Linked DNA regions of Nothobranchius furzeri. The protein of the gene in region 1 interacts with the protein of each later gene in a pairwise test. Links are inferred from orthologs where the notes say so. Each region holds a gene or a part of one and is shown in the gene's direction. Other genes may lie near its edges.

The links. The genes of interacting proteins can lie anywhere in the genome.
Region 2: the proteins of golga2 (region 1) and myef2 interact in binary tests that used the Homo sapiens proteins (3 or more experiments, as listed by UniProt). The two-hybrid records come from large-scale screens. The link is inferred for Nothobranchius furzeri from reciprocal best matches to the Homo sapiens genes GOLGA2 and MYEF2.
Region 3: the proteins of golga2 (region 1) and tpx2 interact in binary tests that used the Homo sapiens proteins (3 or more experiments, as listed by UniProt). The two-hybrid records come from large-scale screens. The link is inferred for Nothobranchius furzeri from reciprocal best matches to the Homo sapiens genes GOLGA2 and TPX2.

What each region holds. Positions count from the first base shown.
Region 1 is NC_091746.1:54,869,414-54,873,062, reverse strand, and holds part of golga2 (golgin subfamily A member 2), read left to right. Parts: intron 1-370; coding exon 371-593; intron 594-707; coding exon 708-869; intron 870-961; coding exon 962-1,068; intron 1,069-3,649. UniProt on the Homo sapiens protein: Peripheral membrane component of the cis-Golgi stack that acts as a membrane skeleton that maintains the structure of the Golgi apparatus, and as a vesicle thether that facilitates vesicle fusion to the Golgi membrane.
Region 2 is NC_091749.1:42,881,031-42,884,779, reverse strand, and holds the end of myef2 (myelin expression factor 2), read left to right. Parts: intron 1-707; coding exon 708-806; intron 807-1,807; coding exon 1,808-1,939; intron 1,940-2,051; coding exon 2,052-2,144; intron 2,145-2,293; coding exon 2,294-2,353; intron 2,354-2,538; coding exon 2,539-2,705; intron 2,706-2,910; coding exon 2,911-2,962; intron 2,963-3,158; coding exon 3,159-3,322; 3' UTR 3,323-3,528; downstream 3,529-3,749. UniProt on the Homo sapiens protein: Transcriptional repressor of the myelin basic protein gene (MBP). Binds to the proximal MB1 element 5'-TTGTCC-3' of the MBP promoter. Its binding to MB1 and function are inhibited by PURA.
Region 3 is NC_091755.1:45,540,762-45,544,410, reverse strand, and holds part of tpx2 (targeting protein for Xklp2), read left to right. Parts: intron 1-711; coding exon 712-843; intron 844-919; coding exon 920-1,028; intron 1,029-1,110; coding exon 1,111-1,170; intron 1,171-1,284; coding exon 1,285-1,395; intron 1,396-1,827; coding exon 1,828-1,937; intron 1,938-2,012; coding exon 2,013-2,155; intron 2,156-2,393; coding exon 2,394-2,562; intron 2,563-2,651; coding exon 2,652-2,790; intron 2,791-3,383; coding exon 3,384-3,603; intron 3,604-3,649. UniProt on the Homo sapiens protein: Spindle assembly factor required for normal assembly of mitotic spindles. Required for normal assembly of microtubules during apoptosis. Required for chromatin and/or kinetochore dependent microtubule nucleation.

The sequences.
Region 1 (3,649 bases):
CTGTGCGTTTCGAGCGTTATCTGTTCTTTCATAACCCGTTGTTGAATTGTGATCGGCAGAAGCTTTTCCGGTTCGTGCATCACTTTTTTTACAGCAGCGACCCAAAACAATGTCCTGATCTCCTAACACAATGGATTCTCTGCTTCCTGATCACGTGACGTGTGACGTATGCGGATGAAGATCGGCTTTGGAGCTGAGATGTTTGTTCTCACAGTGCGGGGGCTCGTTCCGATGCCCACACCGTAAAAAAATGCAAATGATGACTTTTGTCGTCAATGGCAGTGAATGAGTTAAAATGAATCTCTTTTCCAAACCTTGAACATCAAAGCTCCACCTCAACACCTCTGCTGACACTCTGATCCCTCAACAGGAGGACTTTATTCGTGGTGCTCTGGCACAGCTAGAAGCTGAACGAGATGAGGTCAAGCAGTTACTGAAGGAAGAGCGCAGGCTCCACTTGGCGGCCCGGCAACAAGCCGCTGTGGCACTCCGGCTTGAGCAGCAACATCTAAACTACAGACCTGTTCATGAAAATGGTCAGGACCAGAATCAGGACCAGCACACCCATTGTGAACACGGCCATGAACTCCCAGGTTAGACACAATTAAAGTGGTTTGTATTGGATTTCACCAGGACTGCACCACTCTGACGAGTAAATTAATGTGACTCGCTTTTAACGTTCTGTGATTCCGTGTTAAACCCTCCAGATGGAGGCGTCCCAGTGGAGGTACATCAGGCTCTACAAGCTGCAATGGAGAAGCTTCAGCAGCGTTTCACCTCCCTGATGCAGGAGAAAGCTGATCTGAAGGAGCGGGTTGAAGAACTAGAGCACCGCTGCATTCAGCTGTCTGGAGAGACCGACACTATAGGTCAGGCTGGACATTAGCGTCATGCTGAAAATCCCTTTTAAATTTCGATTTGGTGTATATTCACCATTACTGTGTGCCTGTTTCTCCTTTAGGGGAATACATCGCCCTGTACCAGAGTCAGCGAGCCATCATGAAGCAGAAGCACCAAGAGAAGGAGCAGTACATCAGCATGCTGGCCCAGGACAAGGAAGAGATGAAGGTTGTATAGTCACTCGTGTGGATGCAGGTGTTTTTACCTGGTTGGAAAATGTTTTACTGTAAATATAATAAAATTATAATTAGCACTTAAAAAGTTAACGTGTTATCGTGAAGCAGTATCTGTGTGTACAGGAGCATCTGTTTGATTAGAAAACTCAGGCCAGACGCTTCCAAGACACAGCCAGTGTTAAGCCTGATTCATGCTTCTGCGTCAGTGCGGAGACACGCAACGCCATTATCTGTCCTTGCGGGCCTGCTGGAGAGTCCCTGCTAGGACGGATGGAGTCGAGCTCTCTTTTCTAAGCATCCATCCGTCAAGACGGAGAATGCAAGCTTGTGATTGGTCAGGGTACCGCTGTCGTCTACACCGCCGCCATTGCTCCCTCAAAAAAAAACATAAAGAGAGCCGAGGATAACTAGCGGCAGACACGAAGAAGCTTTAAGAATACCTCGTGAAAAAACTCCAAAAACATGAACGTTTAATTCCCCCGTGACTGGAGGAGTAAAAAGATATGCAGCAAGCATTTTTTTGTGGACGGAAATGACAGGAAACGTGGGTTTAGAGGTGGAGAGCCCATGAAAAGGTGGAGGAGAATGAGAGACAAATTTGTCTGTGTTAAAAAGTCTCCAAAAAACAATATAAACACACTATCTTGGACCGGATACATGACAGGATACCACAGAACAGCGCTACACCCTCTGTTGTCCTGGCGGGGAATTGCTTTCCAACACTCCCCAGGAGACGGAGAAGTATGAGGTCAAATGTCTCCGCCCGTGCGTGTCTCTCCCTTTTGGAGCTGACGGAGAAGCATGACTCAGGCTTTAGTGCCAGATTGTGTTGCTGCGTCAGAATCATCGACATATAAATATTGGACAATGGGTTTCCATAGGCACCAATAATACGTTTTTGAGCCAAAATGGGAGGTGGCCACCACCGCCATTTTGACCGTGTCACAGGTTCCGTCAAGCCCAGACAATTCCACAAAAGGGAAGAGAGGTGGAGCTGAGGGTGTGGCTGTAAGGCTGGGATCAACTGACGACACCCGGTCGAACTAGCTACAAGCTAACCTGAAGCTAACGCGGAGGTGGGAGCTAAGCTAACAGAGGTAGCAACCTAGCTACAACCGGAGTTAACTGTGCACAACACCAGAGCTTCTGAGTCAGAGATACGCTGGGCTGACCGCTGGGTAAAACCGGGTGGAACACAGAGATCTCCCGAGAGCTGCTGAAAGCCGGCAGCCCGCACAGCAGACAGAAGCCGCGATCAGACAGAGATGCGCCGAGCTGCGGGGAGGGGAGAACCGGGTGGAAAACATCGGTCTCCCGAGAGCTCCACAAGCTGATAGTCGGAACCCAGCTCCACCAACATGTTATATTTCCACCCATTTTCTAAAGTGCAACATTATGTTAAATGCACTGGGTTTTACCCTATTACATTTAAATTTCATGGTTAAACAGTACATGTTAAAATCTAAGCTCAGCTCGGCAGTGACCTAAAATACATAAATATAATTTTACTTACAGAAAAAAATGAAGTGCTGACTCCTTGGACGCTCTATTAGTGCAATTAATGCCACAGCAAGTCATTTTGTCCAACAATTGCACAAATAATATCCAAAAAAGAATACACAAACACAAAGACTAAAAATCCCGGAACAGTTTCCAGGCCAGGCCGAGGCTCTACTGAGGCTTTTCCCCAGAGCTAGCTCTGCGGTCACGTGGGTCTGATGCTCATTAATTATTCAGAATTTTAGGTCATTTAATAAACTTAAACAGAAGAGTGACTAAAAAATTCACCCCCCTCAGAGTTGTCATGATTGTAAACTAGATCTATTAAACCTAAAACATGTTTTGGTACCAGGCTGTAAACATGTTTATTTCTGCTATGAAATTGGTATTTTTAACATGGGAGTCAATGAGGATTTGCTCGCTTCTGACACCAGCCCCCAGCGGATGAGGGTGGAACTGCAATTTTTGGTACTTCCGGGTTGGGCTCAATTTTTGAGACGCATTGTGGGGGCTTGGTCAGAATGCAGGCGGTAAAAACTGCTGCCACCTAGCTGTCGGAGTTTGATTTGCACCACACAAAAAATATAGTAAATGTTTGCTTGGAAACTTCTACGTAAAAAATTGATTCACGGCTTTTAAATATCGATTAATTATCAACACGCTTAAATATCCCAATATTTACTTGTAGCAATATACAATACAGTAAATTCAGTTATGTAATTAGTGTAACAAGAGATTTTCATAACATTTTCAAAGAAATCTGGTCTCAAATTGAATGTTTTCCTTTCTTTTGCCTCTCTTTGCATTTTTCATCCCACACTTGATCGATGAAAATATATGAAAAACTAAAATGGGGAATGATACATACATTTCTACAGATGCTTGTTGTATAATATGCTGTAAACGATAATAAAGGAACATAAAACAAAAAGAAAAGTAAAATAAATTTCTAAAACATGAGAAGCATGAACTTTATCATGTTACCTACATTTATAATTTGCAATTAATTTGATAATAATCACGTATTAACTATGAAACTCATGCGATGAATTGAACATTTTATTAAATGTCTT
Region 2 (3,749 bases), on another chromosome or scaffold:
TCAATGCCGTTCGGCGAGTCTCGAATAAAAATTTGGGCATCTTACTGTAAAAAAAAATACCATTAATGTAAAAAAGAAACTCTAAAACAACTGTATTCTCATCCAGAATCAAACCTGAGTCTTCTGCATGAAAGTCCGACGTCTTACTAGAAAAAGCGCCAGTGACGTATTTTGTATCTGTAACATTTATGTCCTTGATGACAGCTGAAACAACGTTCAAGTAATGGTTTGGAGGGCTATGCCTGAGCGTGAACGCGCATGAAGCAGCCTGCTCGACCCGAGCAGCTCTCTTTTTCTGTGATTTTACAGAAAAACAGGCAATCACAGTAAAAATGCCAGGGCTCATTCTACAGGACCAGGGCATTGCAGGAGAATGTATGAAGAAGAAATTTATTATTTCTCTACATGTTTTGGCTGTCAAACTTCCATAATGCCCCTTTAAGTAATCCTGAGATTAACTCAATACCCACACTTTGAGCACCATATAATGTGAAATATTCCATTTCATTTTCTGTGAGTGATTTCTGTCAGAAATGCTGAAAAAAGTCATGTTTGACTTGATGTAATAAAATCCTCACCTGTTTAACCACACACAACTTAGTCCCCCATAGTAGTACGTTTTGTTTTGTTTTCTACAAAATAATCTGTTTTATAATTCAATGTATTGGCATAATAAAGGTACATTTTTTTCTTTTTGTTTCTTGTAGGAGGTCTTGGAGGTATAGGCATGGGCCTTGGGCCAGGAGGGCAGCCTATCAATGCTAACCATCTGAGTGGTGGAGGGATGGGCTCTGGGGGAGCTGGAGGTCAGCTGCCGCTCATATTTTTTATTTAGTAACTTGTGTTTAAAAGATGCTGCAGGCTTCTTAGTTGGTTAGCAGATTCATGCCAATAGATATGAAATATGGGGAGGAATCATTAGATTTTTTTCTTATTTGGAAGTCAGGATTTCCAAGCCTGGCCTGCCAGACTCCTCCTCTGTTTAATTCTGCACAGAGAAAGGGTCTGGAAAAACTCTTATTCAAATAACCCCACCCCTTGAGAATTCTAACCGAGCCAATCAGTGCTGAGTAGCGTGCGTCACACACCACAACGCCGAGTTTGTCATAATCGGCGACTGAAGCGGAGTTCTCTCCATCTCTTTCCTCTGTTCTAAATGACTTGAATGTCTTTAAAAGAACAAGTGGAAGTGCTAAAAGCCTTTCTTCTTAAAAAAAAAAGCCGTTTGCTCTGTCGCCAGACGCCATTTTTGACTACAGCTAAAAAACTACAGTGCCGCGCGGTACAGCCGGCGTTTCCGTCTTTTTTCTGATTGCTTATTTTTGAGCTGCCTAGTCCTGCCCCTCAAGTTCCTCTGCCTGTGAGTAACCAGACTCGTTCTCTGTGGATAATTAAACAGAGGACGAGTCTGGCAGGCCAGGCTAAAGATTTCCGACTTCCAAGGACAAATCGAACGCACCATTGGGCTGCATGGTGGCGCAGTGGTTCGCAGCACGAAGGTCGCAGGTTCGAAACTTGGCTGAGGCCTTTCTGCGTGGAGTTGCGTGTTCTCCCCATGCATGCGTGGGTTTCCTCCGGGTACTCCGGTTTCCCCCACAGATCACAACATGCCCTGTAGGTTATAAATTGTAAGTCGCTTTGGATAAAAGCGTCTGCCAAATAAATAAACATTATTGTTCATGTTTGGTCTCTGCAGCTACACAGAGAACCATCTGGGCACCTTTAGAGGTTTTGCATCACCAGAGTAAAGGGCTTGTAGCTAAAATTCCTCCTGTGCTTTAAAACCACCTTGTTCCCATTTCTGCAGGTATGGATGCTTCAAGTTATGGTGGGATGAACAGACTCAGTGGAGGAATGAACAGTGGTGGAGGCTTTGGAGGCATGGGCAATATGGGCGGCTTTGGTGGCAGAGATATGACCTCAGTTGGAAGGATGGGAGGTGAGTGAGAGTTCTCAGTCACTTCACACAGAAGTGATTGTCAGTTGGTAGTTTTTTGGCTTGTAAGTAATATAATGCAGCTTTCTAGGTTTATCTTATAATGTGTGTTTAGAAATGTTTCGGTCGGGAATGGGTGGAATGGATCGTGACTTTGGCCACAACGACATGTCGTTGAACAGATTTGCGGACTCTTTTGGAGGAATGGGTAGGTGATGATCTGATTTTAGAAAAAAAAACTGCCTTTGTATTTTTAACACAAGCTGGTGTTTGTTGAGATGTTTTAGTACGTGTGCATGATGACATTTAAAATTGTGATTAATTAAAATCTGCCCCAACTTGTTTTTGGTCTTGCAGGTGGTGGTTTTGGTGGAGGCATGAGCAGCGGTGGCATGGGACCCATGGGCACTGGCTTAGGTACTGAAACATTTTCATTTCAATTAGAAAATGGCTTCATGTCACCCAATGGTATCAAGTCATAAATCCAACTTCATAAAAAATGAGTTGGTAGAAAACCATTGAGGTGTTTTGTTTTATTGTTAGTTGCACATCTACTCTTTAATTTGGTGCCACTCTTCCCTTTGTGGATGTTTTCTCTGCAGGCAGCATGTCGCTGGACAGAATGGGCTCCGGCTTTGACCGTTTGGGCATGTCAGCAATGGACTTGAACCGTGCTTTTGGTGCTTTTGGGGGTGGCGGCCACATGGGTGGAGGCCTGTCTGACCGAGGTTCTGGCTCCAAAGGAGGCTGTCAAATATTTGTGAGAAATGTAAGTGTGGGTCAGATGCTTATAGTATACAAAGCCTGCTAAAATGTGGGATTAGAGGTTAATTAGACTTTAGTGACTAGACCTCATTGTTTAAATTCCCCAGATCTTAATACGTTTTGGGGATATAATTATATAATTTATGGCACTGGCTTTAACTGAACTTCAGCTTTGAAAAACCATCTGACAGATTATTTTTATTTTGCAGCTGTCCTATGACCTGACATGGCAAAAGTTAAAGGAGAAGTTTGGTGTTTGTGGTAAGATTTGTATTAATAAAGTTTTTGTCTGGACGTTGCAGATTCAATTCCATCTTTTGTTGTCTAATTAAAAAGCTGCTAAAACATTTGGCACAGCATTGTGACTGAGCTGTGAACTAATGGTTCAGAATAACTGGCTTAACTTTAACAACAGTTTCTAAATCAGAATGTAATCATTACTCATTCTTTCTTGCAGGTCCAGTAATGTACGCAGAAATCAAAATGGAGAATGGAAAGTCAAAGGGATGTGGAACAGTGAGATTCGATTGCCCGGAGAGTGCCGAGAAGGCCTGCAGGATGATGAACGGAACCAAGATCAATGGCCGAGAGGTGGACGTCCGCCTTGATCGCAATGCTTAGAGATTTTGTAGTCGCTACTGTCAAACACTCACACATTCAGACCCCTTTCCAATGATTCTGTTGTTTTGTTTTGTTTTAAAAACACAGTTTATCTCCTTATGTGTGTCCTTTTTCTTTTATGTATACTACAATACCATTTTGTCTGTTTTTCAACCCTCTTTTTAATTTCAGTTTATTTGAACAAATAAACTTTTTAATTTTTAAAACTTTGTGCTTGTGATCTTTTCTAAGCTTAAAGCTGTTGACATACATTTAATATTGTTGGGTCCAGAGCTACCAGCTTGTAGTTTTTGTTGTCAGGAAGGAAGGGAATTTTGATTTTAATTGCTGAATAATGTACGTTTTGCAGAGTTAGCTGTAAACGTAACAGAAACCAGCTAGAGATTAGGGTTTTGGTTACAGAATAGGTGCAAAGTTTTTACTGGAA
Region 3 (3,649 bases), on another chromosome or scaffold:
TGCAGCTTTCCACCTGAGCTGCAGAATAAAACCCGGCGCTCTGCGTCTAACGGGGTGTTATTAGTGAGGTTTTGACCCATTTTGGATCCTCGCTGCTGTATACGGAAGTCTGGTGGTCCAGGTGTTTGTAGAAGGGGACATCTTTGTTTCCAGGCCGGGTTTGGGTCGAGGATCACATCTTTAGGCTCAGATGATGATGATGACCTGTAAATAGGCATTTGGACCTGAGACCTCGTTTGTCATCCACACGCCTGCTTTTAGAAATGTTTGACACATTAAACACTTTAAAGTTGGACCAGTAGTAAAATCAGCCCAAGCATGCCGGTTCTGATTTTTAGGACTAGTTATTGCACCTGATTCTGATTCATCTTTTTATTTTTAACATTTCAGGATTAACATGAGAGACCGTAAATAAGAGCTGCTGGGTTTAACTACTCCAGCGGTGTCAGATAACTGGCTTTAATGTGAAAGGTCTCTGATTCTAGAAAAGCGAGGATATAAACTCATTTATTTCTGTTGTCAAATTAAACATTTTGCTTTTTGACAACAATCGAGTTTAGCTGCTGTAATGTAACCTGATCCAAACAGCACCTCAAAGCAAGTTCTCACTGAAACCACAATAATGGCCGACGTTTTCTTGGCTTGTTTTTAGAAACGCATCGTTTGAAAACAGAGACTTGAATGTGACTTACTCTTTTTACGTCCGAGTAGAACGACGTGCTGAGGGAGCAGATCCTCACCTCGTCACCCCTCTGAGAAGCTCCGCGATGCGGGTCGAGAAACCTAAACGTGGTGAGAAAAGTGGGACCCACTCTCTTCACACCCAGAAGGAAATGGTGTCAGGTCAGTCTCGTCTTTTGTATAAAAACTTATTTTATTGTACTTTTAATGAAACTGTGTGAGTGAAATATTTTCTCAGGTCAAAACGCGTCTGCATCTCCACCTTCGAACATGGTGACATCGTGGGGAGAAGAGCGCCAGAGGGTCGTTCGACCGAAGAGGTCCGGTATCCCTGGCCAGCCGCGCAGGTAGCGGCTGCTCTCAGCAGATTACAGGGGTGTTCCTAATCTGCAGTCCTGAACTAGACTAGATCCGTTTGATTCGTTTCAGGGTTTCGAAGCGTAAAGGGACCTCGGGTTCATCAGAACCTCCATTGAAGAAGCAGAAAGAGTTGAGTTGACTTCATTAATTAAACAATGGCGGGTTCTGCTGGGAGCAGGTTATCTGCATACGTCTGCAGATGTCACCAGCGTTTGATTTTCACACCTCCAATCTCTGCTGCAGGATCCCTGCTGCACCCAAGCCCAGAGGCGGGAAGCCCGGTTCCCGCAGCAGCGAGCGGTGGAGCTCCAAGAAGTCTTGTAAGGCCCCTGAAGCCACTTCCGCTGCTCCAGAGTGAGTCCTTCACTGCTCCCACCGGTGGAACCGGTGCAGCTGCTCACCCGCCGAACCTGAAACGTCTTTGGTTCTTTCTGGCCGTTTACTGGTCCATTTTAACCCGGCTGAAGATTTGGTTTGAATCCTGTTTCTGTTGAATCATTCCCGTTTTAGTTTAGCTCAGACATTGGAGAACGATCTGGGAATGACATCAGAGCAGGTGGGATGTCATTCCCAACTCCAGGATTTGTCATTTCTGTTTTTGGCTAAGACCGTCTGAGTTGAATCACTTCCGTGTTGGTTAAATGGCACGACTCTGCCCCCTGCTGTTGTCCGCGGGGAACTTCAGTCCACTCAGACGTTAGTCGTCGAGCCGTGTTGTATTTAAACAGTTGCGTGTTTTTGTTCTGGGCTGAAATGCAGCATAACGTTTAAACTGTGTCTGAGCAGGCCCGTTACCTCTGAGCAGTTGGAGATGGAGAGAATCAGAAGTCTCCAGAACGAAGTGGCTCAGCAGCGTCGGCGAAACGAGGCCAGCTACAAGGCTGCTCTGGCCGGCAGTGAGTGGCTCGGGTCCAGGAAATGTTTCTGAAGCGTGAATGAACCCGAGTGTCTGATGATCGCTGCCGTTTCAGGGCCACCGCCGAAGAAGCTGGTCCTGGCCAGCACCGTACCGCAGGACTTCGCCTTCAGCACCGACGCTCGTGTCAAGGCCTCCTCGAACCCGGTGCAGAAGGAGGTGGATTTTGTGCGGCAACTCCGGAAGCCCTCCTCCCCGGTAAGGCGCCCGGCCCGCCTCGCTTTCAGCCGAGTCTGTAAACTGCTGGTTTCGTTTTATGTGCCGAGTTGTGCTTTCATCTTTACTGGGTCTGAAGATTTTACACAAGGCAGAACATTTAAAGCGTTTATGTTCATGCTGACGTCTTTAGGAGCTGGCTGTTGGGGTGAGAGGATGAAATCACAGATTTGGTGCAGAAAACTCACGAGATTCTTGCGTCGTCGTTTTTATGTTAAAGGCAAAAGCTCGGAGAGGCGCCACCATCCCCAAACCCTTCAACTTCTCAGGCGGTCACAAGAAAGTGCAGGAGCGTGAGGACTACGTACCGATGGCTCAGCAGGTGGAGCTGTTCCAGAGGCGGACTCCCACCCGGTACCACTTACGGAGCAGCAGGAGTCTGGAGAGAGGTGGGATGGGTTTGTAGAGCTGAATGGAACACCTCGTTGGTTTGGAGTAGGAACCAGGCCCACTGATGGGTTGTTGGTTGTTGTTTCAGGACCGTCTTCGGTGAAAAGCCAGCACCTGAAGCTCACGGAGCCTCACTCCCCCCACCTGATCACCCGCGAGCGAAGCCGACCGGTTCACGTGAAGAGCAGCGCCGAGCTGGAGGCTGAGGAGCTGGAAAAGATCCAGAAGTAAGAACCGCGTCTGCTCAGCTTGTGATGCTCGTGTTGCTTCTGGATGCTGACCAAGTCCTCCAAACACACCCACATCACCCCGCTTCTCCTCCAGCTTCACTGGCTGCCAGCCAACTTCAGGGTTCATTTCAAGATCCTGGTTCTGGTCTATAGGGCCTTACATGGACAAGCACCATCTTACATTGGTGATCTTCTTAGTCCCTACACCCCCAGCAGGTCCCTGAGGTCCAGTGATCAAAGCCTACTGGTTGTGCAGCACCAGGCTAAAGGTCAAAGGTGACAGATCATCTGCTGCTGTGGCCCCCAGACTCTGGACCTCTCTCCCCCTGAGCCTGAGATCAGTGGACTCAGTGGTCTCCTTTAAACTCACCTGTTCAGGTTTTGGTGTGACTCCATCACCTCCCTCTCCTTACTCCGCCTTTCCCGGGATCCACTGATTTCCCTCTTTCCTTACATTATTATGGTTTTATCACAAGTTATATTCCAGTTTTTTCTCATTTTAAACTTATTTTTAATCACTTTTTGAAATCTTTTCTATATTTTTTGTTTTTGCAAAGCGCCTCGTGATTTTCATCATTTTTCTCTCTCAGGGTTAAGATCAAACCTCTGGAGCTGAACAGGAAGATTCTGGAAGGTGCCGAGGAGCTGAGGAGGCCTGCGGTGAAGGAGCCCACTGTCGCTGAAGGCTTCCAGCTGGAGATCGAAAAACGGCTCCAGGAGAGGCAAATGACCAAGAACCCTCAACACGAGGAAGAACCTTACACCTTCAGGGCCAAGCCGCTTCCTAAGAAGGTTCTGGAGGAGGTCGTGGTGAGTGGACCTGGGCCTTGCTGGTTCTGGGAAGACTAGGTTTATT